Oryzias latipes: one gene and its partners. The protein of the gene in region 3 purifies or fractionates together with the protein of the main gene of each other region. This does not show direct contact. Links are inferred from orthologs where the notes say so. Each region holds a gene or a part of one and is shown on either strand. Other genes may lie near its edges.

Region 1 (5,197 bases), on a different chromosome or scaffold from region 3:
TCGGTTTTGTTTATGTGCTCGTCACGGTATCTCCAGTCTGTTCTGTTCTTCTGACTTTATCCACAAACATTACAGAGTAAAACGCTGGATGTAGTTCTATTGACCATTATGAACAGTTTATTTTTTTGTCTGTGGTGATGCAGAGCCGGAGTTTGCCTTGATGTGAAGCTGCAGAGGCAGGCAGGGACCGTCAATAAAGTACCGTACACGAAAACCCCCCAGAGAAACAATAGCAAATGTTATTGATGTTTATGTTACAGAAGTTGGATTTGACTGCCGAAATAGAAAACATAGAGAAAATGAGGTGGTTTAACCCTACAAATTAGAATTTGCCATGTAACATTTGAAAAGAGGGCTTTTAAGTTTACTGCAGTAATAGCTATCATTTCAGTGTATGTGAAGTGCTTGAACAAAATCTGTACCACTGCATGTTCTCAATAGAGCTTAAAGATGCTGACAACACCTGAATAAACATCACAGGATCAAACCGTGTGTTATCAGGCGGTTCTAGCTTTTAATCAAGTTTTTTTCTTACCCTGGTGGTAGAGGATCAGATGATGCAGCATTAGAGAGCGGCTGCCTGGGCTTGACCCCGTCTGAGGTTGTCGTTGCATTGCCGCTGCTGCTGCCGCCGCCGCCCCCGTCTCCGGAAGCATTTACTTCTGCCGTGGGCGGGGAGGAAGAGGACGAACAGGAGGGTGTTGTGGCGGTGCTGGTCCCTTGGGTTGCATAGGCCAATGTGGTGGAAGCAGCGGCGGTGGTGTCTGCAGGTTTAGCACCGGCAGAGGAGGCTACAGGAGACGCGGAAGTTGTCCGAGGCGGCGACGTGCTGTTCGGGGCGGCAGGAGAGTCGGCCTCTCCAGCGCCGTCCTCGTGGCCGCCTGTGGGGGGCACATCCGTTCTTGCTGAGGACGTTTGCCTGGCAGCAGCCTCGCTGGACTCCCCATTTACTGCAAACACAGGACAATGACGGTTTTTATTTGTTCGCATCATCTGACTTTTTGACATCAAAAACATGTGCAACTGTTGCATCACATGTACACTTAGGAAAAATGAAGAAGTCTGTGGTAAAATATTCTTCTCAGCCTCAATGGCTGCTTAATAAGAAGAGAATGAAAACAAAATCAACATTCAGAACAATAAACTTTTTATCTTAAAAATAGAAAGTATTGTATTGTCCAATAGCTGGATATGTTGGTGTAATGCCACCATGATTGACGTACTTCAGATATAACAACTTTTCTGAGGATTAAAAATAAAACTTGGACTTTGAGAACTATCAGTGTAAACTGTTATTTTCATAGTTAATTTAAAAAAAAGAACATTGTCAAGTAGAGCTGTGATGGTGTGGGATTTTTGATGAACCAGCAGGGGGCGCGGTGTCGCGGTTAACCGCACATTACTAGCAGTCACCAATGCAGAGATTTTTTGTTTTGTTTGTTTTATTTTTTTCAAATCACTTTTCCCCAGAGTTTGCACTTTGTAGACCCCTTGACAGCTGTCTCTTTATCTGCAGCACAGAGAGCCATTCTCGTTAAAAAGTGTGTTTACCAAAACAATCATCTGATTTCAATCGAGTCTGAAACTACGTGATTGGGATCAGTTTCTGATCACGTGATCGGATCGGGACATCCCTACCTAAAACTACTCTTTTTGTCATTTCAAACTTGAACACAATAAAGATTTGTTTAGGGAGCATAAATGTGAACAAAATGACATTTTTAGGAATTCTTTTCAGAGAAAAGATCAACAGACTTTAGAATTGAGAACATAGAAGACAAACTCACCTATTCTATTTTGTGTCTCGCCGTCGAATGGCTGGTGGACTGGAGTGGAGTTTAGGGTTGTCTCTCCGTTGACCGCATGATCCCGAGCTGGGCTACAGGAGCTGGAAGGCACCTGACCTTCAGCGCCACTGGAGGCTGAACAGGAACCTGACCTCGGGTCCAAATCTGAACCATTCATTGTGCTTGAGGGAGAAGAAAGAGAAGACAAGAAGGAGATTGTAAATGAAATGCAATGACGAAACGAGATATCAGCGGCGTAATGAGCACAACTGAAAGGCTTTCTTTGTGAGCTGTAGCTTTTCAGGTAATGTCAGAGACAAACCTGCAGAACGACCAAACCAAAACCAGCCATAGAACTAAAGCTCAGCTAAGCCAAGACCTACAGCAGGGAATCAACGATCAATCAGTTAAACAACCAAATCTTTAGCTTTTTGCAAACTAAAAATTATAATAATTTGCAATAAGCTTTAAAGCAATATTATTTTTCAAGACATGAACAATTTAAGCAGTTCAATAAAAAACATTTCTAAATTCAGCACCAAAGCCTAAATATAAAGGCTGCTGTACTTATTTAAAGCAGAGTCTTCTGGCTCAAAACTGTACGGCTGGTTAGCCCCAACTTTACTCGCCATTTTTGTTGCACCGCTAACGACAGGTTGGGGTTGTGAGGGACTGTAAACTAGCAGGAAAGACTGCAAACAAAGGGATGATGGGAAATAAAAGCAGTCTCAACCTTGCGCCAATTTTCCCATCTACAAATCAGTAATGAATTTCTCAAACTCTGCAGAAAACGACAAGTTTTTTGACTAAAACCAGCAAATAGATCCAAATATGATCAGAGTGGGACTTCGAATCCTTGTTGGCAGCACACAACAAAACAAATATCCTAATCTCTGCAAGTTTGCTTAAAACCAAACACATCAGAAAGCTGGTCTTCAGATGCTTTTTATGGAGTGTTCCCATCTTCGCCTCACAGCGAGAAGATCCTGGTGTGGTTTGAATCCCTGCTGGGTCCTTTCTGTGTGGAATTTGCATGTTTGCCTGTGCACGTGTTGACTTCTTCCCACAGTCCAAAAACATGCTTCATAGGTAAATAATGATTCTAAATTGTCCCTAGATGTGAGTGTGGTTGTGTGGCCCTGCTAGAGACTGACAACCTGTTAAGGGTGTACCCTGCCTCTGCCCAACAGTAGCTGGGATAGGCTCCAGCAACACTGTGACCCCCAAAAGGGATTCTACAGGTTCTGAAGATGGATGGATATTTTCCCGTTTCTTTTAATGGGTAGTTTCCACTCTACAGCGAGAAAGAGCTTTGGCACATTCCTCCAGAGACTTTATAACACAATAGGGAGTAGGAAACTTTGTATAATGGCATTAAAACGCTCTAAGCAATGTCTAAGCAGGTTAATGCCAAGCAGCACTGCTAATCTAGGGGTCCTGCTGACCTTGAGAGAAGGAAATGACTTGAATCAAGTTTGGAGAAAATGTATTTACAAAATGAAACAAGCTGGATAGTTGTGATCAGCACCATAAATGTTTTTGTTTAACTGCACCACACCACCCACATTGTTTCCTTCTCTGACTTCCTGTTTCGCTCACATCAATCAATCAGCACAATACTTGTAACTTACATGTTGTACAAAAAAACAAAGTCTTTGACATATTAAGAAACATCATAACACACAGACTAAAGAATAAATCAGGTTTCAGCTCAGTTAAAAAAAAGACAGACTAGTCCTTTCGAATCACACTTGCTTTCACAAATGTAAAATATGTTTTATAAAAAAGGATTATGTCATGTATTTCTGTTAAACAGACGGGATTGGTTAATGCATTACTGGACAGAACTGATGCTTTTACTGTTACACAAGAACTGCTGGATGGATAATTAGATTTAAAAGAAGAAAAAGAGATTACTTCATCTTGGACATTTAAAAATGGAGCACTTGTTCTTTTTACTTTTTAAGGGAAAGTTTAAAATAATAACCTACAATTCCTCTTAACGTTCTGTTTAAGTAATTGGTGTGATGACAGCACTTTAAAAAAAAGGTTCTTCCCTGTTAAACTTATGTAACAGAAGAAGAATCAGCATTTCTTCTTGCATTTTCCATGATATTCATGCTATTCATTCACAAAGCGGGAAGTTACACTAAACTTCCGTCTTCCTCGACACATATACCGTATTGCACCTGTCTCACTCTTACCTTTTCTCCTCGAGTGCAACTGGCGGCCGTTTAGAAAAAATGCATTAATTTTTTTTTTTTAAATGCATAAAAAAGCGTTGAACAAGAGTAGCAGTTTATAATCCGGAAATTACTGTAATTCCTAGGTTCCACCTGTTTTTGGACGGTGGGAGGAAGCTGGAGCCCCCGGAGAAAAACCCCCGCATGCACGGGGAGAACATAGAAACTCCACACAGGGGGGTCCCCCATTGATGTTCTGTTTCAGGTCCCCCAGCTGGGACGTGAACTGGGGGCGTTCTTGCTGTGAGGCAATAGTGCCACCGTGCAGCTCTAAAAAATATCTCAAACTTTTCCACAATATTGTCATTTGTCCATTGTCTTGTTCCCTTCTGAAAGACACCTGTCTCATTTACAATCAAAAAGAGGTTGAATATTTTGGTTAAATGAAAGTAACTTCAAGTCAAAATGTGGCAGATGGATGAATGAATTATTTTTTGCTTGACAATTCTTCATCTTTTGTTATGCTCTTGTATTATAAAAAAATGTGCCACTAAAAACAAAATAGAGAAAAGTCTGCTAATAAAACTCGTCAACACTACAATCTGGTTCTCTCATGTTGATTTTGAAAGTAATTTATGACTTCAATTGTCCACAGAACTTTTTGTTTTTTTAGAAGTTCCTGGCGTTTTTCCCTTTAGATACAGTCCAAAAAGAGTTTACCTGTTGGCAGCCCTTGAAGAGGATGAGGAGGAGTCTCCGTTTTCATGGACAACCTCGCCATTCTGATGGACCTCTGAAAATAATAAAAAGAAATGTTAACTATAGGTAGCCCATGCAGGAGGGTTTTTACTAAACTGAAACATATAAAACAGGTTTTGAGGTCAAAGAGAAAATAAAACATTTCTTTGTTAATTTTGGAAAAAATAAATGTAACGCACCTCTAATCAAAATACTGAGCTCACTAGAGGCAGTTGTTGCATTGCCATTGGTGAGAGGTGGCCCATCCTCAGGACTGGTGATCAGTCCGTCCAGGAACACCATCAGCTCCCCCATAGGCACCATGACTCCTTTCTGCTCCACGTTTAGCTTTAGCACCTCCTTTACATTCTCCACTATTCATCCGAACAAGCCATTATTATTTAGGAGGCGATACAAAAAGGGCAAAAACATCATGTGATGTATGACATCTCATAACCATACGTTTTCTGTCATGCTGCTCCAAAGCCT
Region 2 (5,864 bases), on a different chromosome or scaffold from region 3:
ATGCAGACACACCTCGAGGCCTGGAGTTGCCCATCCCTGCAGTAGACTATAGTTTAGTATGGAGTATAGTTTGTACTATATAAATAGTATAGTAAAAAAAATTACACGACAGACAATGTCATTATTGCTCTGAAATACAGAGGGATGTTGGATTTTAAGTGCATAAACTAAACAAACCGTATGTACTACTGTCTCCAGAAGTATGTATATATTTTCAAAGTAAAGTGTCGGTGAAGTTTCTCATTTTTTAAAGTAAAACAATCAAGTGTTTTTGAGGGGGGAAAAAATAGGTTAGCTTTACAAATATGTTCTGAAAAACTAAATAGTCAACAATCTGAATAATTAATATGAAATTTAAAAGATTTTAAAAAGCTGGTGATCAATGATGTGACGTCATGCGTCTGTCTGCTAGCATGGTGGAGAAGCAGAACAGGAATGTAAACATGTTCATCTGAATGCGTTTTAAGATGTCCACTTAAAATCAGTTTGTAAAACATTTTCTAGCCAGAGAAACTTTGAGGATGGACAGAAAAACTGTGGATTCACAGCCCTACAATTTCGGAGGTTTATTCTAAAGAGTTATAAAAGCCTTTTGACAAATTCAAATGAGAAAATAGGCTTTTAAACTATTTTTTTGTACAAAAAAACCCCACCTTATTATGAAATGACATCTAAAGTACAGATGTATTGATCAATCTAACCATATGGTGCTTCAAACTCGACTGTAAAACCAGTATAAAATACACTGCAAAAAGAGTTTGCTGTATTTGCAAAACAGACCAGAAAACTGTTGAACTGTAAAATGACTTGAGGGACGTCCCGCAGCGAATACAATAGAGCAGAATGCAGCAATAAAGAGGCATCAGCTGATAAACCAGAAAGTTTAAACTTCACTTATCTTTATAAACAGCTAAAACTCAAGCAATTATATATTAGTTAAAAATTGGGCATCAAATAAATCATCTTAAGCTGCAGCATAAGAATTGAAACATTCTGGGTTTTTTTTTTTAATATAATTGCTGGATTTTTTTTTTACAGCACATAGATTAGCTGAGAAACATGAAAAATGTATTTGAGAAAACATGAAAATTATTTGTAAAATGAACCAATTTACATTTTTTTAAGGCTATCTGATCAAATATGCCACCAAAAAGTTGTAACCATAACATAATATGTTCTGGTAAAAATTTTGTTTGTTGTTTTTCCAAAAAAAAAGCAGAAAATATTAATCTGCAAGTGTTTCAGTCTAACTTTGACACATTCCAGGTTTTTGTCGTATGCTTCACATATTTGCCCAAATAGATCAAGGAAGACATTTATATGAAACTTAATAATAATAATAATAATAATAATAATAATAATAATAATAATTAACTGGAAAATTCTATAAAGCTTCAATTATTATCTGCTCCCATCTTTAAAAACCACAAATGAACATTTAAACATAAATCTGGCTTCACTTTAATTTGAAATATTGTTTTACAAAAAAATACTAATAATAATCACCCAAAGTCTATGAAGAGGTGATCAAAAATAAAAAAGACTGACCTTTCAGGATCAACTGAGACTTTTCTGTACTCTGAGCACTGCCAGGTCTGGTCACGCTGGCAGCTGCCATGACATCCCAGCTCTGCAACACAAGCAGTCGCACAAATGACCACAACACTACACAAAAAGTGAATCATTGCATCCCTGCTGCATACAGGTATGCTTACGTTGAAAGTCTCAATCATCGTGCTAAATTTAAGAATGATTCTTTTTTTATTGTTTTCAGGCTCAGTGTAAGCCAACTGAAAGGTTGTTTTCTTCATTGTTACTTATAAATTGATAGATAAGTCTTTATTGTCATACGTACAATGAAACTAAAAGTGCCTTCTGCACGGACCAGAAGGCACTGAAAAGAAGAAGAATTTTTAGGTTTTTTGTCATAGTTTTGTAAAAAACAAATTAAACCAAAAACAAAACTGTGACCCAAAAATCGAGGTTTGAACAAATCATGGGGTGCAGCCTCATCCTTTAGAGCCAACGCTTCCTGCATTTTTCACTCATTTAATGTGCAAAGTCTGCAGAGATGTGACGCCTGGAGGACAAAGCCAAGGACCAAGTGTCCTGCAAACATCACAGCTCACCACCAAAATGCATTATTGTTAGGTTGAGTGCAAACTGCACAAACAACAATGTAAATAAATAAATTACATTTTGTTTTGACTATAGACAAAAATCTCTAATTTAGAAAACTTTTTAAATGTTCTGTTTTATATTCACAAGTGTCTAAGTCTAATAAAAATGTGTTTTATTGTCTTTCAATGTGCAACTATTTTATAAACCAGTGGCCCTGAACCACCTTTTAATCACCTCATCTAACAGTTTGTCATTATGTTGTGATTGGATTCCACCTGTCATTAAAAAAAACATTACAAAATAAAAGCATATACCTGAAAGTGTTTTGTTTTCCCTGTCAGAGGCTGCAGCCAAGTCTCATCAACATCACCTTGAGCAAAGTCATGCAGGGATGCAGTCTGCAGCGTTTATTAGTGCGAACAAATCTGCAGCACAGCAGGCATTAACCCTGCTGCAAGCAACTACGTCCTTGATGATGCTCCGTCATTGTTTGCAGAGTAAATAACTATAAACTCTGCATTTCCTCTGCACACAGTCAGAAGCCTCAGACAAGGCGAGTCTTGATAAAAGTTGGTCCTAATCAGAAATCAACTGTGTGTTTTGACAACCACTTCTGTCTCAGTCAGAGCCAATCCGAGGGGAGCTAACACAACAAAAGCTCGCATTCCCGTCAACCTTGCGAATTAACCTCGGAAAGGTTCGGCCAGGGGGATCAATGGCGCCTCCGGACCCCGGCAAAGCTTCACCTAAACGGATGAAGACGGAACCATTTCTGCTCAACCGATTTATCGTCACTGCATGGTACCCCTGAGTGACTGCTGCTAACAAAATACAAACAAGGCAGATGATTGAGGCATATGAAAGTATTACCGTCAATCCTGGGCAGACAACACGCAAACTTCCGTTGAGGATTTTTAAATTAAAAGCTTACCAAGAAAAAGTCCTTTATTTACTCTAATTCCCCCAAAAAAGATAATTTAGTATTTTCTATTAAAATATGAAAATAAAAATACAAGAAAGAGAACGACATGACTTAATTATTATGGTTATTTCAGTACATAACTACATTACTACGCATTAAGCGTTTCTTGTTCCAATTTAATTTGTTTTAACACTTCAAGAACACACAAGCTAGTAATTTAATAAACCCTACATTTTGAATAAAACTTTGATTTTTTTAATTAAAATGTGTTTCTTAAATCCTTTCTCACCCCTAATGCTTAATTTGAAGGGGAACTGTCTTCACTTCCGTTTGGAACGGCTCATTTGTCGTGAGAAGGTAACTGTTAGCCCGCAAGCTTGTTAGCTGGATTTTACCAAAGGACATGGAAAAAATAGCTATTTCATACACCAGAGTGAAAACAGATTAAGATCTATAGCAACCCGCTTAATATTAGACACAGCTCGGTGTACTGACACAAGAAAACAGAAGCATTTATGGCAAAGTTCTTGTACCTTTTTCAGCTGTACTCCGCCGCTGTAGCTAGTGAACTTTCATTTCCGCATCACTGATAAAGCCACGTGATCCAGTGACGTCAGAGGGAGGAGGAGGGGGCATTTGCTCTACGAATATTGTCCCCTAACTGACTTAGCTAAATGTGACATACACAAATGTAAATATACAAACAAAAAAACAGCGTTTTTCATTAAGAAATGGTACTGTGCATAAAAGTATGGAATCCTAAACTAATAAAAAAGTTGAGTTGGGGTTGGTTTCATTTAAAATGTGAGAAAATTTGCCTTTTATTTTCTTTTTTTTTAAGTACTATTGTTTTTTTCTGTATTTCAATCTCCTGGAAAATTCAATAAAGTTACTTAACTAAAACAAATCCCCCCCCCCCCCCCCCATATGGTAAAGCATAAAATGGTTGACTAAAATCGTGCAATGTAGAAATCTGGTATGGAAACTAGGTATGGAGTTTCCTGTTTTGTATGATGTATTGTATGTGCAATAGTTGTCGATAAAGTTCATTTTAAAAGATTCCACCTTCAGAACCCACTTAATCTTTTGGGGTATTAAGTGGAGCCTGTTCCAGCCACTGCTGGGCAAGGGGAGGGGTACACACTAGATGTGTTGCCGGTCTTTTGCACAGCCACACGATCACAGGGACAGTTTAATGATACAAACAGACTGATGATATCACACGTTTTTCCTTGTTTTTGACATTAAACTCTCAATGGATCCTGAACCAAATCAAAACTAAAAACTAACCAACCTAAAAAAAATACTTTGATTTGCCACAGAATAAATTCAATTTTGCTTTAACAACTTAGAATAGCCTCTGCTGACAGATTGTGAATATTTTATCTTTTATATAAACAAGCTGAACTAATGTTAATACAAACCATCATCCCTGCAATAAACAGGCTCCACCGACTTTCATTAAATAAAGTCATTCTGCTGCAAATTTTCTAATTAAAGTAGAAAAGTGATTTTGTGCTCTAAAAAATTGCATTAACAAGTGGTGTTTTTTTTTAAAATCAGTGTCTTTGTTAAAATACATTTTTAAAAATACTTCAAAAAAAACAAAAACTTATTGTGAACATTTAGGATAGAAACACTTTGATTCAAAACATTATTTGAAGAAGTATTTTACTAAATGTCCAAGTATGTTTCAGCTAAAAAAGTAATTGGATCAAGTGTGAAGTTTTTATCTAAAAAACGATTAAACTTTTTAGCTGTAAAGAACATATTACATTTAGATAGGAGACATTTTTAGTTTCTTATCCAATTAAAAATTAATTTTTTAGCTTCAACAGTAGTTCTTCTAAAGTCTTAAATTTCTTGCTCGATGTTAAAGTTGTTCACTTTGTTTTTGTTTTTAACTGAAACAAAACAGATTTGAAAGAACAAAAGTCTTTAAAACATATTTATTTAAAATTGGGACAACAACAAAACAGATATTAATGTGAGTCTGTGCACCATTTTCTTAACATTTGAGGGTTTTTCCTGAAACAGGAAGTGGATTTTCAGCTGCTTTTCAATTCCCCCACAGGTTCAAAGACATGAATACAGACATTAAACACAGCACAGAGCTGAGAGCAGAAAGCAGGAAGGACTGACTGAGCTCAGCCAAAGCTGCACTAATGCGGGTCTAAACCTAAGAGAACGCCTTCAGTTAATGGTGAGAACATCACTCTGGATCTCATGGCTCAGTTGCGTCTGCAGGTCGCTCAGTTTCTTCTTTAGGACGGCCAATGCTGACATGACCACCGTCTCGGGTCGCAGAGAGCCGCACGACTCCACGTTGTAATAAAACCTGGATTAAAGAAAATCAATTAAATGAGATGTGTTCACATGTTCAGGGATTTCTCAGAGTTCACCAATTTACCGTTAAAACTTCAAACCCACTCTGAACATCTTTTGATCCATTTTCAAAGCGTTCCCAGTGGTGTTTTAGTCACGTTTGTCATTTTTAGTCAAAATCTAAAAACCTGTGTTGTTTTCTAGGACATATTTTCTGCGGAGCTGCAGGAGTTGATTAGAAAATCCCTCCTCAGTCACAGCTGGGACTGCTGGAGCTCAAAAAAGATACTGTTTATGTATGTATGTGTTTATGTAGGGTTCTTTTGTGAATAACATTCTAAGAGTTAAAAATCCTCACATTTGGGATCACATTATGAGATACAAGGCACTCCATGCCACAAAGAAAAATCATATCAATTTTAATAAATAGTTGTTGGTGTTCACTGGACCATGCATACTAAAATCATTTTAAGGAAGGTTTCTTGCTCACCTTTCT
Region 3 (5,948 bases):
GAAGACTGTAAGAGAGGGTGATGAAGCTGAAGCTGACAGTTGAAGGTATGATGTTCAAAATTGTCAATTGTTCCTTGGCCTGTGTTTTGGCAAGAGTCTGGCAATACGTATTACCATGGGCTATATCCCAAGACAATATTAAAAAATATATCAAAAGTTGAATGTAACCCTTGTGCTATCCTAGGCACTGTAACATTGGGAGTTGGGTCATCTAGACCCACTAGACAGTGCTCTGAACCTTTTTTCTTCAATGATTTGTGATCTTCACTGGTGTCCATGGATTACATGAAATCTTTCCACCTTTATCATGGTAGGGAGAACCCTTCAATGTAAGGATGGGGTCATCTAAGATAGCACAAGGGTAAAGGAATCTATGTAGAATAAAGGTAAACTAGAAAAATAAGGTGTTTGAAGGAAATAGTTGGCTAAGGTTCCAGCTGTGATTAAGTGGACTGGTGTGCAGCCAGAGGGCTGTTCTGTGCTCCGTCATGCTGACGTCTTTTCACAACTATGAGCTAGAGATAAGGGCGTCTGGGTTGAGTTTCATTGCTCTCCAGAATGCAGTTTCATAAACAAGAAGCACAAAACAACCAAGTCAAGTAATAATTGGTAATACTAAAAAAAAATGAAACATTTCAAATTAAAAAGGGAGGTTTTTGATTTTATTATCAGCAAAAAAGGAATTTTCTGTCTTTTGCAATGCCGTTTTCAGGGACATCCAGATCAGGTTGGGTTCATGTTTAATGGATGAAACAATCGACAGGTTTTTCTTTTCAAGCGTTTATTATATAAAATTTGACCCATGGGGTTCATACAAAAATACTTTCTTACAACTCAGTCTTAAAACACTTTTCAAACTTTTAAAGTGAAGAAAGAGGGCAGATTTGACTGAAATGTTGTCTGAGACAACTGCAGAACAGATACAGCAGTTCTGTAAGGTGCTTCAGCATCACACCTGCTGAAAAGAATTAAAGTCAGAATATAATCAAATTTGGGATTTCTCTTTTTTTCTTTTTAAATTAAAAAAACATTTTTTTACATTTGTAACACACAGCCAAAAACGTTTGTTTGCAGTAACAGAGCATAACTTTAAAAAGTGCGATTCAAAAAAAAAAAGAAAAAGGAGTCATACACAACATGCTGAGATAATGCTCTGTGGAAATAAGGAGGCTCCTTTATCATCCTAAACGTTTGTTCCCAACAAACTGATGAGCCTGCTGAGAGCCACAGCTCCTCTTTGGAAGAAACTGGATATAACTGGAATGAACAAACCAGCCAGGAGTCACAGCCTGACTCACACACGGCTCCTTCTCAAAGAGTAAAAAAAAAAAAGTGTTCGACAGGAAGCAGCAACACCAACGGACTCCGGTTACTCCATGGAGCCTTTAGACGGGAGGAACAGCAGACGGAGACCTTCAGGACCAACCGAACACCAGGGGGAAACTCTGGATGAAGCACAGGCATATGCAGAAACATCATCATCGCAGGTTCTCTCCAGTTTGGACCTCCAGCTTCTTGTTGAAGTGCATTCAATGATTGGTCTTGGAGAACTGGACCCGCAGCTGCAGCATTCAGCAGACTGGCAGCATGCAAACGTTGTTTCCGTTGTACTCTTCTTCGGTCTGCAAAACACGAAGCAAAACCAGAACTTTCAGAACCGTCCCAGCAGCTGCCAGAAATGCGCAGAACCCTGTTGATCGCCTTACCTCGGCAAACACAGGCGGTGATGGGAACTGGAAGCTGGGCGACCTCATGAAAATGGGGCTGCCATCTATGTCGTCGCAGTCACACAGCAGCGGCGTGAGGGGCTGGTCGAGCCGAACGTCCCGCGTCATGTCAGAGTAGCTGGGGGGATTGGAGGGCATCTGCAGGGACACCCAGCTCTGGGAGGCGTTGCTTACGGAGCCCTCCTGGCTGCTCACACTGTTGCTGCGGCTGCCGAGACCGGCTGTCCCGATGACCAGAGGCAGCTCCAGGATCACTTTCTCACTGCCGGGAATGTGGACGTAAATCTGGAAGAAGAAAACAACAGACCATCAACACGTGTTTATCTCAGGAGGAGCCACAGGTGCTCCGCAGGCATGCACACTTCACCATCGGTGGCTCACCATTAGTGCATACTCCACACGGATGATGTTACAGCTCAGCATGGATGGCTTGATCTTTGGTACCCTGATGGTCTTCCCCTGCCAGGCGTCACACATGCCAGAGATGATGTGGTTTCCACGCACTGATGACAGCTTCTGCCTGAAGACCTTGGTGCGGCCGTTGGCCTGATATGTGTGTTTGGCAATGATGGCAGCTTTGGGAACCACGATGCGTGAGCAGGTGTTCTCGAACTTGGCGTTGATGCAGATGTCCTCGCCTTCACAGAAACCACGCCTGTCGATTTTGGCGTTTAGTGACACTTGGCCGTCGGGAATGAACATGCAGGTTACTTTCTTTTCCTTGGAGCCACCTGTGGGAGACTGAAGAGCAAAAAGAGGTAAAAAGAAGGTTAGCACGGCGGCGAATCCCAACATCTACACCCATGGATGTTCTGATTACTCACAAGTAAATCTGGGGTGTTGACATCCAGAGGTTCCTCCACCTCGAAGCATTTCTTGCACTCAAGCGTGGGCTGCAGCGGCCTCTCCAATTTAGCCTTCACATAGTACTGAACATAGCCAAACTTCCCCTTGTAAGAGGATACCAGCTGCCTATGAGCAAACACAAACAGGATTAGAACCACAAATCATTTCATGACTGAATGAGGAACTAAAAAAAAGGGGGCTTACCCTTGGTCGGGGAGGTCGAATCCAAAAGTGTACTCATATTTATTCCCAGGCCTCAGCACGACAGAGCCATCTGCATCTGGGGAGGGGGGAGAAAAACCATGAGTAAGGGGGGGGGGGGGGGGGGCAACTCTGTGGGAAATGAAAATGAAGGTGGGACATGATGTAAACAGAGCCAACTGGGACAAAGTTCAAGCACGGATGTTTCTGATTCCTGCCTCACTGATGAACCCCTGTAAATTCTCACTGCGTCATATTTCACCCATGAATCCAAATTTATTAAACTCACTTTAAAATAGACTAGAGTTAAAAAAAAAAGAAGCAGCTCACTTTAACCACAAAAACAGCTTTAGATTTATAAAGTGGAAGAAAAAATAATTTAACTACTTAATATTTTTAACGTGTAATTGTGTTATTTAGCTAGGACAAAAATAATTCCAGCACTTCCAACAGTTCCAGTGCGCACGAGGCTTACCTTTGGGCTGGTCGTGCAGGCTCAGGACCTCCTCGTGCCTCAGGTACTCGGCCTCCTGTCGGCATCGCTGCTTCCCCTTAGCGTACTCCACCTTGGCACAGCCCAGAGCCACGACTTTCACCGCAGACACCCGCGTCAACTCGTTCACCTCCACCTCCACGCGGCCGCACACCTTCTCCCCGCCGCAGTAAAAAGTCTTGCTCGGGTCCGATAAGACTATCTGAAAAGTTTTCAGTCTCTTCGTCATGGCTACCATGGCTGCTGAGGCTGTGAACAATGCTTGCTCGTGCGACTGAAGCTTTCGTCGTCTGAGGCTGTAAACAACAGAGGCGGCTGTATTTTTCTTTCTTTCCGTGAGCCCCGCGTGATGAACCGCCTCCGCGGTGTGGCTCAGCGCATGCACAGCGCTCCTATTGGCGGAAACTCTAGGTTTGTCTCGGCTTTAGCCAATCAGAGCGCAGAGTCAGCGCGTGGACAGCGCATGCATACGAGAGTGCAGCGCGTGCTCAGGAGATGAGAGACGAAAACTCAGCGTTTATAGTAAACACCAGAAACCTGGGAAGTACAGGCGTTTCCCTCTTAGGTCAGTTATTCAGCTGCGTTACAAATGAATATTATCAGTGCTATGATATAAAATCAGTTTACAGTTAATTTTGTGTCCTGATATGCTGAAACTGGATGATAACAGATAAAGAAAAACCTGAAAACACTATATCAAGCAGTTAATGGTCAAGTTTACACGACGTTTATTGTCTTATGAACAGACAGATCCATAAAACAATTGTGAGGATCAACTCATTAATATTTTCCCAAAGCATTAAATACTTTAAAATGTCTGTTTGCTGCTGAAGGGCCACAGTGTAGGCTACACTTTTTAAAAGTGATATAGATTTTTTTGTTGTGGGTTTTTATACTGTCTGCTTGTATTTTTTTTCGCTTGTATTTTTTTCCCTATTGTTCAAAAAGACAATTCCAACAATACAAAAAGACATCAAAATGTAAAATAAAAGTATTTGAGGTTAATTTAGGGTGACATTTTTTCAACTTATATAATGTTAACATTTTATCCTTTTAACGTCACGCATGTTAGGTCAAATATTGCTTACAAAATAAACGCCAGAGTTTCACTGTAAACAATTCATGAAGTTAACATTACAGTGATTCTTGATACTTCTAGAGTCCTCAGTAATTGGTAGGGATGCCACATTCATTCATTCATTCATTCATTCATTCATTCATTCATTCATTCATTCATTCATTCCTCTTCTAAAATCCACTTCAGGGTCACGGAGCTGCCAGACCCTTTTCCGGCCATCTTTGCTTCCCTACAGCATGCCATTATCTTTTAGAAGGATGTGTTATTTATGGTATTTATGGTTTTTGGTATAAGCCAACTGAAAGATTTTTCTTCATTCTTTCTTGCTAATTAGCTAATTTAAAAGAGGGATTTTCAGATATTTTTTAGCTTTATTGTTGTTTTGTAATACTCAAAATAAATATGAAATGGAAACAAAAACGTGACCCAAAAATTGAACCAAGTCATGGAGAAAGTGAATCTTTGCATTCCTGGTAAATACTTATATAGTGCTTTTCTACCTTCCCTTAAGGCCCATAGTGCTTTATTCACATTCACCCATGCACACACAATGGCGCCAACCTGTAACCACCAGGAGCAGTGTGGGGATCAGCGTCTTGCCCAAGGACACTTCCACACATGTGGGCCGGATGGAAACGAACCTACAATCTTCAGATCAGCTGCTCTTCCTCTGCACCACGCCGCCACCGCAGATATTATTGGAAGAAGATCAAATTTGGTCTAAATTTTAAAAGAAAAATGAATAAAAAACATTTTGCAACTTTTTTCTCTGTGTTGTTTCACAACCATCAAATATATTTCTGTAAAAAGCAAGAACCTTTTAATTGTCTCAGAAGGCTCAAGTGTAATGTAAACTGATCGTTGTGGCTCCTCTCTCAAGTATCCCCACGTCTGTAACAAGATGCCCCAACTGACGCCACATGTCTTCTGAATGGTTGACTTTTCTGGGTATCGCATCTCTTCAGAAGTGGGATCTAAAAATATTTTTGTTCACAGACACAGTGATGGAAATCAATTTTGTAGAAGGGATCATTTCGTACTGTAACCCTGGTGCTATCCTACGCACTTTACCATTGGGAGTTGGGTCATCTAGACCCACTAGACAGTGTGCTGAACCTTTTTTCTTCAATGATTTGTGAACCTCACTGGTGTCCATGGATTACATGAAATCTTTCCACCTTTATCCACATTTGTCATGGTAGGAATAACACATCAAAGTAAGGGTGGAGTCATCTAAGGGTTAAAAACAAGGGTTAAAAAAGAAGTAACACAATTATCTGTAATAATAAGGTTTCCAAAGATTTGTTTAGGTCAGGAAACTCAGTTCTTTCCTCATTTTTATACCTGAAACATATTAACTGATTAAAGTGATCAAGTTGATGCCTCACTGATTTCCTTTCAGGATAAAAGATGTCTGGAACGTCTTAAAATGCTGCATTACCCCAATGATTGGAAAAATACAGCTCTTCTTCAGACTAACTTGGGTTTATTGTAACTTTAAATATTTTTTTCTGTCTCTAATATATCTAATTTGCTTTTTTTTATTCATGTAATGAAAAAAATACATTTGAAAGGAAAACCTTTCCATGCTACACAGATTTTT
Region 4 (5,919 bases), on a different chromosome or scaffold from region 3:
CCGTAGCAGTGATCCAGCAGAAGATTGGGACTCTGCACATGACGTGAAGGCTCCTGGAGCTCTGGATGTGGGAGATGATTCTGCTGAACTGCTCTTCGTCGCTGAACCTCTTCCTGAAGTACTCCTCCTTCTGAGAATCATCGAAGCCGATCACTTCTGTCAGCCGATCCACGAGTTTTTCAGGGATCTGGTGGGCTGCTGCAGGTCTGGAAGTGATCCAGACCAGAGCTGAGGGAAGCAGACGTCCCTGGATGAGGTTTGTCAGAAGAACGCTGACTGAGGACTTCTGGGTGACATCAGACACCACCTGACTGTTGTGGAAGTCCAGAGAAAGTCTGCTTTCATCCAGGCCATCAAAGATGAACAGAAGTTTATTGACATCCAGCTGCTCTGCTGGGATCTTCTGGAACGCTGGATGGAAAAGCTGGATCAGACTGTGAAGACTGTACTGCTCATCTCTGACCAAGTTTAGCTCCCTGAGGGAAAGAGGAACCACAGAAATGACGTCTTGGTTCTCCAGACCCTCGGCCCAGTCCAGAGTGAACTTCTGCACCAGGAAGGTTTTTCCAATGCCAGCAATGCCGCTCGTCAGAACCACTCGGACGGGTCCATCCTGGTTCTGGAAAGCTTTGAAGATGTCGTGGCACCTGATTGAAGCCTTGCGTGTTTCTTTGTTCTTGGAGGCCGTCTCCAGCTGCCTCACCTCGTGTTGGGTGTGCACCTTGTCCCTCAGCCCCTCAGTGATGTAAAGCTCAGTGTAGATGTCGTTGAGAAGCATTCCTCCTCCTCCTCCTGCTGCTTCTTCTTCACTTCCTTCAGCCACATGCTCGCTTCTCTTCCTCTGTCTGACCCGATGTTTAAAAAACTGCTTCTGGAGACGAAAACCTTCTACGAGGGGAAAAACAGAAGCAGAGAGACAGAAAATGGTCTCATTTTGGTCCAAACCCACGTCACAAAGGTTTTACTCTGAGTTCTTCTGCTCTGACCGGCTGTCTGCGGTCCAGCTTCCGCTCTGGATCTTCTTTCACATCGTGAACAGGAGGAGGCTCTGGATGGAGCGGCCTGGTTGGAGGCGATGCACTGTCTGCACAAGCCGTGTCCACAGCTGCTGCAGACCGGCTCCTCCAGGACGTTCAGACAAAACCAACAGCTGGAGGGCTTCCTCTCCCCAGAAGAATCTCTCTGTCTGTGAACAGGAGGAAACAGCTCAAACAGAAGCTGACAGAGATCAAGAAAGGAAGTCAGATCAAGACTCCAGACATCCACAACAAGTTCATAACTATTCCCTAGATTACACATCCTGACAGAAAGGTTTTACAATGACAGGTTTTCTGCATCTCCTTAAAAACATTTAGTCTTTCTATCTCACTGAAAGGCATCTTTGAAAATCTGTGTTGATAATCAGGGCTTTCCTGTTCACATTCAGCTACAGTAAAGCAGACATGAAACCTCTGATAAAGCTAATCTGATAATCTTGGATGAAACGGCCTCTTACTTTGAATTTGGGCGACCCGGTTCGGCACTGAAATTCGGGTTTTCCTCTTTGGACCAGTCACTCTTCAGGGACAGAGAGCTGGACGATGAAGAATCGGGTTTCTGTGGATGTCTGTAAATAAAAACAGAAGATCACAGCCGTCTGCAGGTCATAAAAAGAATTTTCTGCATTGATGTGATGGCGTTCCAAGTAAAGAACATTCCTCAAAATAAAAAGATCGTGCGATCCTTAATTAGGCATCTTAAATAGATAAAATCCTAGAATTTATCACCCTTAATTGTAATTTAGGATTACAAAAAAATATTCTGAATCATATAAACTTTCCACACAAAAAAAAAAAAAAATCACAGAATTCTGTAATTTTAAGCTTTAGTCCTAAATCATGTACAGAATCACCTTAGCGCTCGAACTGCTTAAAGGAACCACAATTAATGTGCTTTATGAATAAAAGCAGACCTCCGAAACAACAGGAACACCCCTCTTTAGGACTATACCAATTGGATAAAGGTTCAAGGTGTTGTTTTTTCTTTTAAACGGCGCAGCGTGCCGTCAATTCATCAGTTTTCCTCTCTAAAAAACACCTGTGAGATTCCCTGAATAACCAGTTCAGCAAGGTGAGGAGAACTTCCACTGTAAACATAGATACCACTCATTAAGAGAACTACAGTGGGGATGATGACCTGAGAACCAACATAACACACCAGGTTGTAGGAATATAGAAGGCTTTTTATAGGAAAATAACTGTTTTAAGTTCATCTTTTCCTCCTTTGCACAAAGATCTCGCTTGGTAAAAAAAAAAAAAAGTATTTCCTATTTTGTCTCACAAAAAAAAAGTCTCACTTTGAGGGTGATGGTTCAGGTTCAGCACTGAAATGCGGGTTTTCCTCTTTGGACCAGTCACTCTTTAGGGACAGAGAGCTGGATGATGAAGAACAAAGTTTCTGTGGATGTCTGCAAATAAAAACAGAAGATTACAGGGTAAAACCTGGGTAAAAGAGGGCATTTCTCTGCATGAATGTGATGGAGTTTCACTTGAAGGGATAGTTTTCAGACTAAAAAGACAATGTGATCATTAGGCAGATTGCAGAAGGTTTCTTACAGGAAAACAAACTGTTTTTGATCATCTTTTCCTCCTTCTGTTCAAAGATCTCCCTTTTTTTTAGTAAGCGTCTTACTTTGATTGTGAGGGTTCAGGTTTGGATCGGGGCAAACTGCGAGATGGTGGAATCTCTGATGTGTCCCTCTTCCTCTTCCTCCTTGAACCACTCATCCTCAGTCATAACCTGAACCTGAAGCCATAAAAAATAAACCCAATCTTTAACAGCTGGTGTGACTCACATCCCGCCAATCACAGATTTTATTGATGGATGTTTGTTTCTTAATCTCTATGGCAGTCAATCAAATATTCACAGAGTCAAACAACAGTTCGAGATCCGTTTGAGGAATTGCTCTTCTGACAAAATACTGCACATATTTTCTAATAAACACTATTTGTTCCACTGTCTAATTTAAAGCGGCTTTCTCCTTCCCTGATAAGAAACCCACGTGACCTCTGACTGTAACTTCCTGATTGATCATTTCTCAATCAATCACAATCATTAACAGTCCGATCAGTAATTTCCTCTGAGACTCTCCTTCACTCCTGTCTGAAGAATGTGCGTCACGTCAGTCCAAAGCTGTAATTTGCCTGTTTCTACCTGTTCACAAAGTTTTCTTGTGCGCATGTCTGGAGCTGTAAAGTTCCTGTGCAGACAAGACTTGATAATATTGACACAGTAGTTGGATTATTATATTAATTATTACTGTCATATAAAAAAAAAGTTATTTAATTTTCTTATCTTGGAAAATCAAAGACACTAATAAACTCTTGACCTGCATACTCACATAAGCCGAAGTTCCTATTTCTCCCCCCGTCATTGAGGCCTCTGCTCTGCAGCCTCCAGTCGCTTCCCTCCCTGCGCAGGTATCAGGTGACAATGACTGCGCAGGTCGCCCTCATTTTACCTTCAGGGGCAAATGACAGGTTTTCTCTGCATCATCTGCAGCCTCTGTGGCGCGGGAAGGTCCATGTAGATCCGGACCGAATCCTCGACCCGCTGTTGCTTCCAACTTTCTTTTTCCGGATCGTCATCAACTGCGACTGAGTTCTGTGCGCAAACACCTCCGGAAACTTTCGGTTTCGGTGGCCTGCAGGGGGCGCTGCAGACCGGACTCCTTCCAGGCGGACTGGTGACGCATTTCTCCTCCTCATCTGAATAATATTAACTTTTGCAAAGAACAGAGACATTAGAGCGGTATTTCAGAAAAAACAGGGTAACTTTGACACGTATTGGAAACACTATCTTGGAAAAAGACCTGCTTTTTACCTAATTCTATTTCCAATGAGAAAAAAGACATATCAAGTTTACATAGATTCACCCTGCCAAAACCCATTTAATAAAATGTAAACCCAATATTGAAATAATCATCTGTCTTGGCATTGCCCCCTTTACTCAATCTTTTTGGCCATTTTCTTTTGTTACTAATTTGCTCTCTCCTTTTTTTAAATTTGGAAATTGTTTGTCTTCCACCAACATAACAATATGCCATTTTACTTTTTAACAAATGTCCTTGTGGAAGTCAAATTATACTGAATTAGTTAATTTTTCAAATAACCCAAAAGTTATAAAATGTCTTTAAATTTGCTCCCAACATATAATTATTTCAACTGTCAATTCTGCAATGTTTTATCAATCCTCCATACTCTGTGTGCTTTTGTAGTTTTTTCCTACTTTATTTTTTTTTTTGTTTTATTTTATATCATTTATATGTAATTGTTTTGTACTGAGATTGACGTTTACAATAAAGTTAAAAAATAAAAATAACTTCTGCATAGAATTCATCCTGCTAATCAACAGATGATAAGATACGTTAAAATTGTTAATCCTATTCCCAGCTCTACATGGACCTTCCCGCGCCACAGAGGCTGCAGATGATGCAGAGAAAACCAGTCATTTGCCCCTGAAGGCAAAATGAGGGCGACCTGCGCAGAAACAATTAGCCATCTATGGTGGAACTGGTACAAAAACATTTAGAATCAATTGTAATAAACATTGACTCAAAATTTTTGAAAATAGAAGTGGCACAAAAAAATTATATTTGGTAAATTTCATTAATTTCCCTTCATGAAAACTAATAATATCATATCATATATAATAAATTGGGAAATATTTATATTTATTTACAATTATATTGTAACGTCATCAATTTTCCCGAAGTCTCAACAGAATACAACTATTTGTACGCAGGGTCTGAGGGGGCCGATGAGGACAAACAAGCGAAAACTACATTGTGGTGCCCTCTGGTGGAGAATTGTAATAATACAGACATGTGAGAAAGCGCATCCTTGGTGCTTGAGGATTATTCTACTTTTTCCACTGTCTTAGGTTGGTGTATTTTGTCAAATTGATGGAAAATAAAGGGATAAATTTTAAATTGTAATAAAAAAATGTTTAATCTCACACCTTCTCAAAACATTAAAACATGTTAACACCCACTGATCCACCAAGGCAGATAGACTGAAAGTCAAAGTCAGCTTTATTGTCAAGTATGCTGCATCCATAAGACATACAGCACAGATGAAATTGATTTTCTCTCACCCCACAGTGCAAGCAGCATATAAAATAATAAATAAACGACGTAAAAAATAGATAAAAAGACAGTAATAGTAATAGTAAGAGGAATAACAGTAGTCTAAACAGTGCTAAAGAACAGTGGCATGGTTGAAGTGGCAGTTTAAAGTGACATCAGTGCTGAGAACAGTAAGTGGATGAGTCATTGATGGCAGTCTTTGGTGATGATGGTGTTCTGAAATGGTGTGAAGTTTTCAATGTGAGCTTGTAGGATGGAGTGGAGGGGCCAGAGGGGGGAGGGCAGGGAGGGAGTTGAGTGTCCTTATTGCCTGATGGAGGAAACTGTCTTTTAGTCTGCTGGTTCTGGCCTGCAGACTTTGCAGCCTCCTGGCAGCAGGTTGAAGTGTCTCTGGGATGGGTGTGAGGGGTCCCTTGCAATCCTGATGGCTTTGCGGGTGAGGGTGAGAGGGGGGGGGGGGGGGGGGGGCTTGTAGGATGGAGTGGAGGGGCCAGTAGGGGGTAGGTCCTTGTCAGTACCGGGTTGGACCCGCTTTTGCCTTCAGAACTGTTTTAATCCTTGGTGGAATAAATTCAACAAGGTTCTGGAAACATTCCACATTGGTCCATATTGACATGACAACATCACACAGTTGCTGCAGATTTGTCGGCCGCACATCCATGATGCCAATCTGCCGTTCCAACACATCCCATAGGTTCTCTATTGGGTTGAGATCTGGTGAGTGTGGAGGCCATTTGAGTCCAGAGAACTCATTGTCATGTTCTAGAAACCAGTCTGAGATGATTCCAGCTTTA

What was found.
Region 1: the proteins of txnip (region 3) and wwp1 purify together in Homo sapiens (affinity purification with mass spectrometry; 4 studies listed by BioGRID and IntAct, counting the BioPlex papers as one, with this or other methods). This does not show direct contact. The link is inferred for Oryzias latipes from reciprocal best matches to the Homo sapiens genes TXNIP and WWP1.
Region 2: the proteins of txnip (region 3) and wwp2 purify together in Homo sapiens (affinity purification with mass spectrometry; 3 studies listed by BioGRID and IntAct, with this or other methods). This does not show direct contact. The link is inferred for Oryzias latipes from reciprocal best matches to the Homo sapiens genes TXNIP and WWP2.
Region 4: the proteins of txnip (region 3) and NACHT, LRR and PYD domains-containing protein 12 purify together in Homo sapiens (affinity purification with western blotting, with the first as the bait; 4 studies listed by BioGRID). This does not show direct contact. The link is inferred for Oryzias latipes from reciprocal best matches to the Homo sapiens genes TXNIP and NLRP3.

What each region holds. Positions count from the first base shown.
Region 1 is NC_019878.2:10,288,350-10,293,546, forward strand, and holds part of wwp1 (NEDD4-like E3 ubiquitin-protein ligase WWP1), read right to left. Parts: coding exon 5,171-5,197; intron 5,083-5,170; coding exon 4,909-5,082; intron 4,764-4,908; coding exon 4,691-4,763; intron 1,970-4,690; coding exon 1,788-1,969; intron 951-1,787; coding exon 536-950; intron 1-535. UniProt on the Homo sapiens protein: E3 ubiquitin-protein ligase which accepts ubiquitin from an E2 ubiquitin-conjugating enzyme in the form of a thioester and then directly transfers the ubiquitin to targeted substrates.
Region 2 is NC_019864.2:27,458,425-27,464,288, reverse strand, and holds the start of wwp2 (NEDD4-like E3 ubiquitin-protein ligase WWP2), read right to left. Parts: upstream 3,677-5,864; 5' UTR 3,577-3,676; intron 1,631-3,576; 5' UTR 1,619-1,630; coding exon 1,549-1,618; intron 1-1,548. Other genes in the region: polr2c (DNA-directed RNA polymerase II subunit RPB3), read right to left, coding at 5,237-5,381, 5,859-5,864. UniProt on the Homo sapiens protein: E3 ubiquitin-protein ligase which accepts ubiquitin from an E2 ubiquitin-conjugating enzyme in the form of a thioester and then directly transfers the ubiquitin to targeted substrates.
Region 3 is NC_019869.2:21,667,917-21,673,864, reverse strand, and holds txnip (thioredoxin-interacting protein), read right to left. Parts: upstream 3,624-5,948; 5' UTR 3,506-3,623; coding exon 3,250-3,505; intron 2,854-3,249; coding exon 2,778-2,853; intron 2,700-2,777; coding exon 2,552-2,699; intron 2,469-2,551; coding exon 2,109-2,468; intron 2,013-2,108; coding exon 1,707-2,012; intron 1,623-1,706; coding exon 1,572-1,622; 3' UTR 765-1,571; downstream 1-764. UniProt on the Homo sapiens protein: May act as an oxidative stress mediator by inhibiting thioredoxin activity or by limiting its bioavailability.
Region 4 is NC_019866.2:2,346,921-2,352,839, forward strand, and holds the start of NACHT, LRR and PYD domains-containing protein 12, read right to left. Parts: upstream 3,669-5,919; 5' UTR 3,380-3,668; intron 2,785-3,379; 5' UTR 2,766-2,784; coding exon 2,671-2,765; intron 2,447-2,670; coding exon 2,336-2,446; intron 1,607-2,335; coding exon 1,496-1,606; intron 1,187-1,495; coding exon 987-1,186; intron 889-986; coding exon 1-888. UniProt on the Homo sapiens protein: Sensor component of the NLRP3 inflammasome, which mediates inflammasome activation in response to defects in membrane integrity, leading to secretion of inflammatory cytokines IL1B and IL18 and pyroptosis.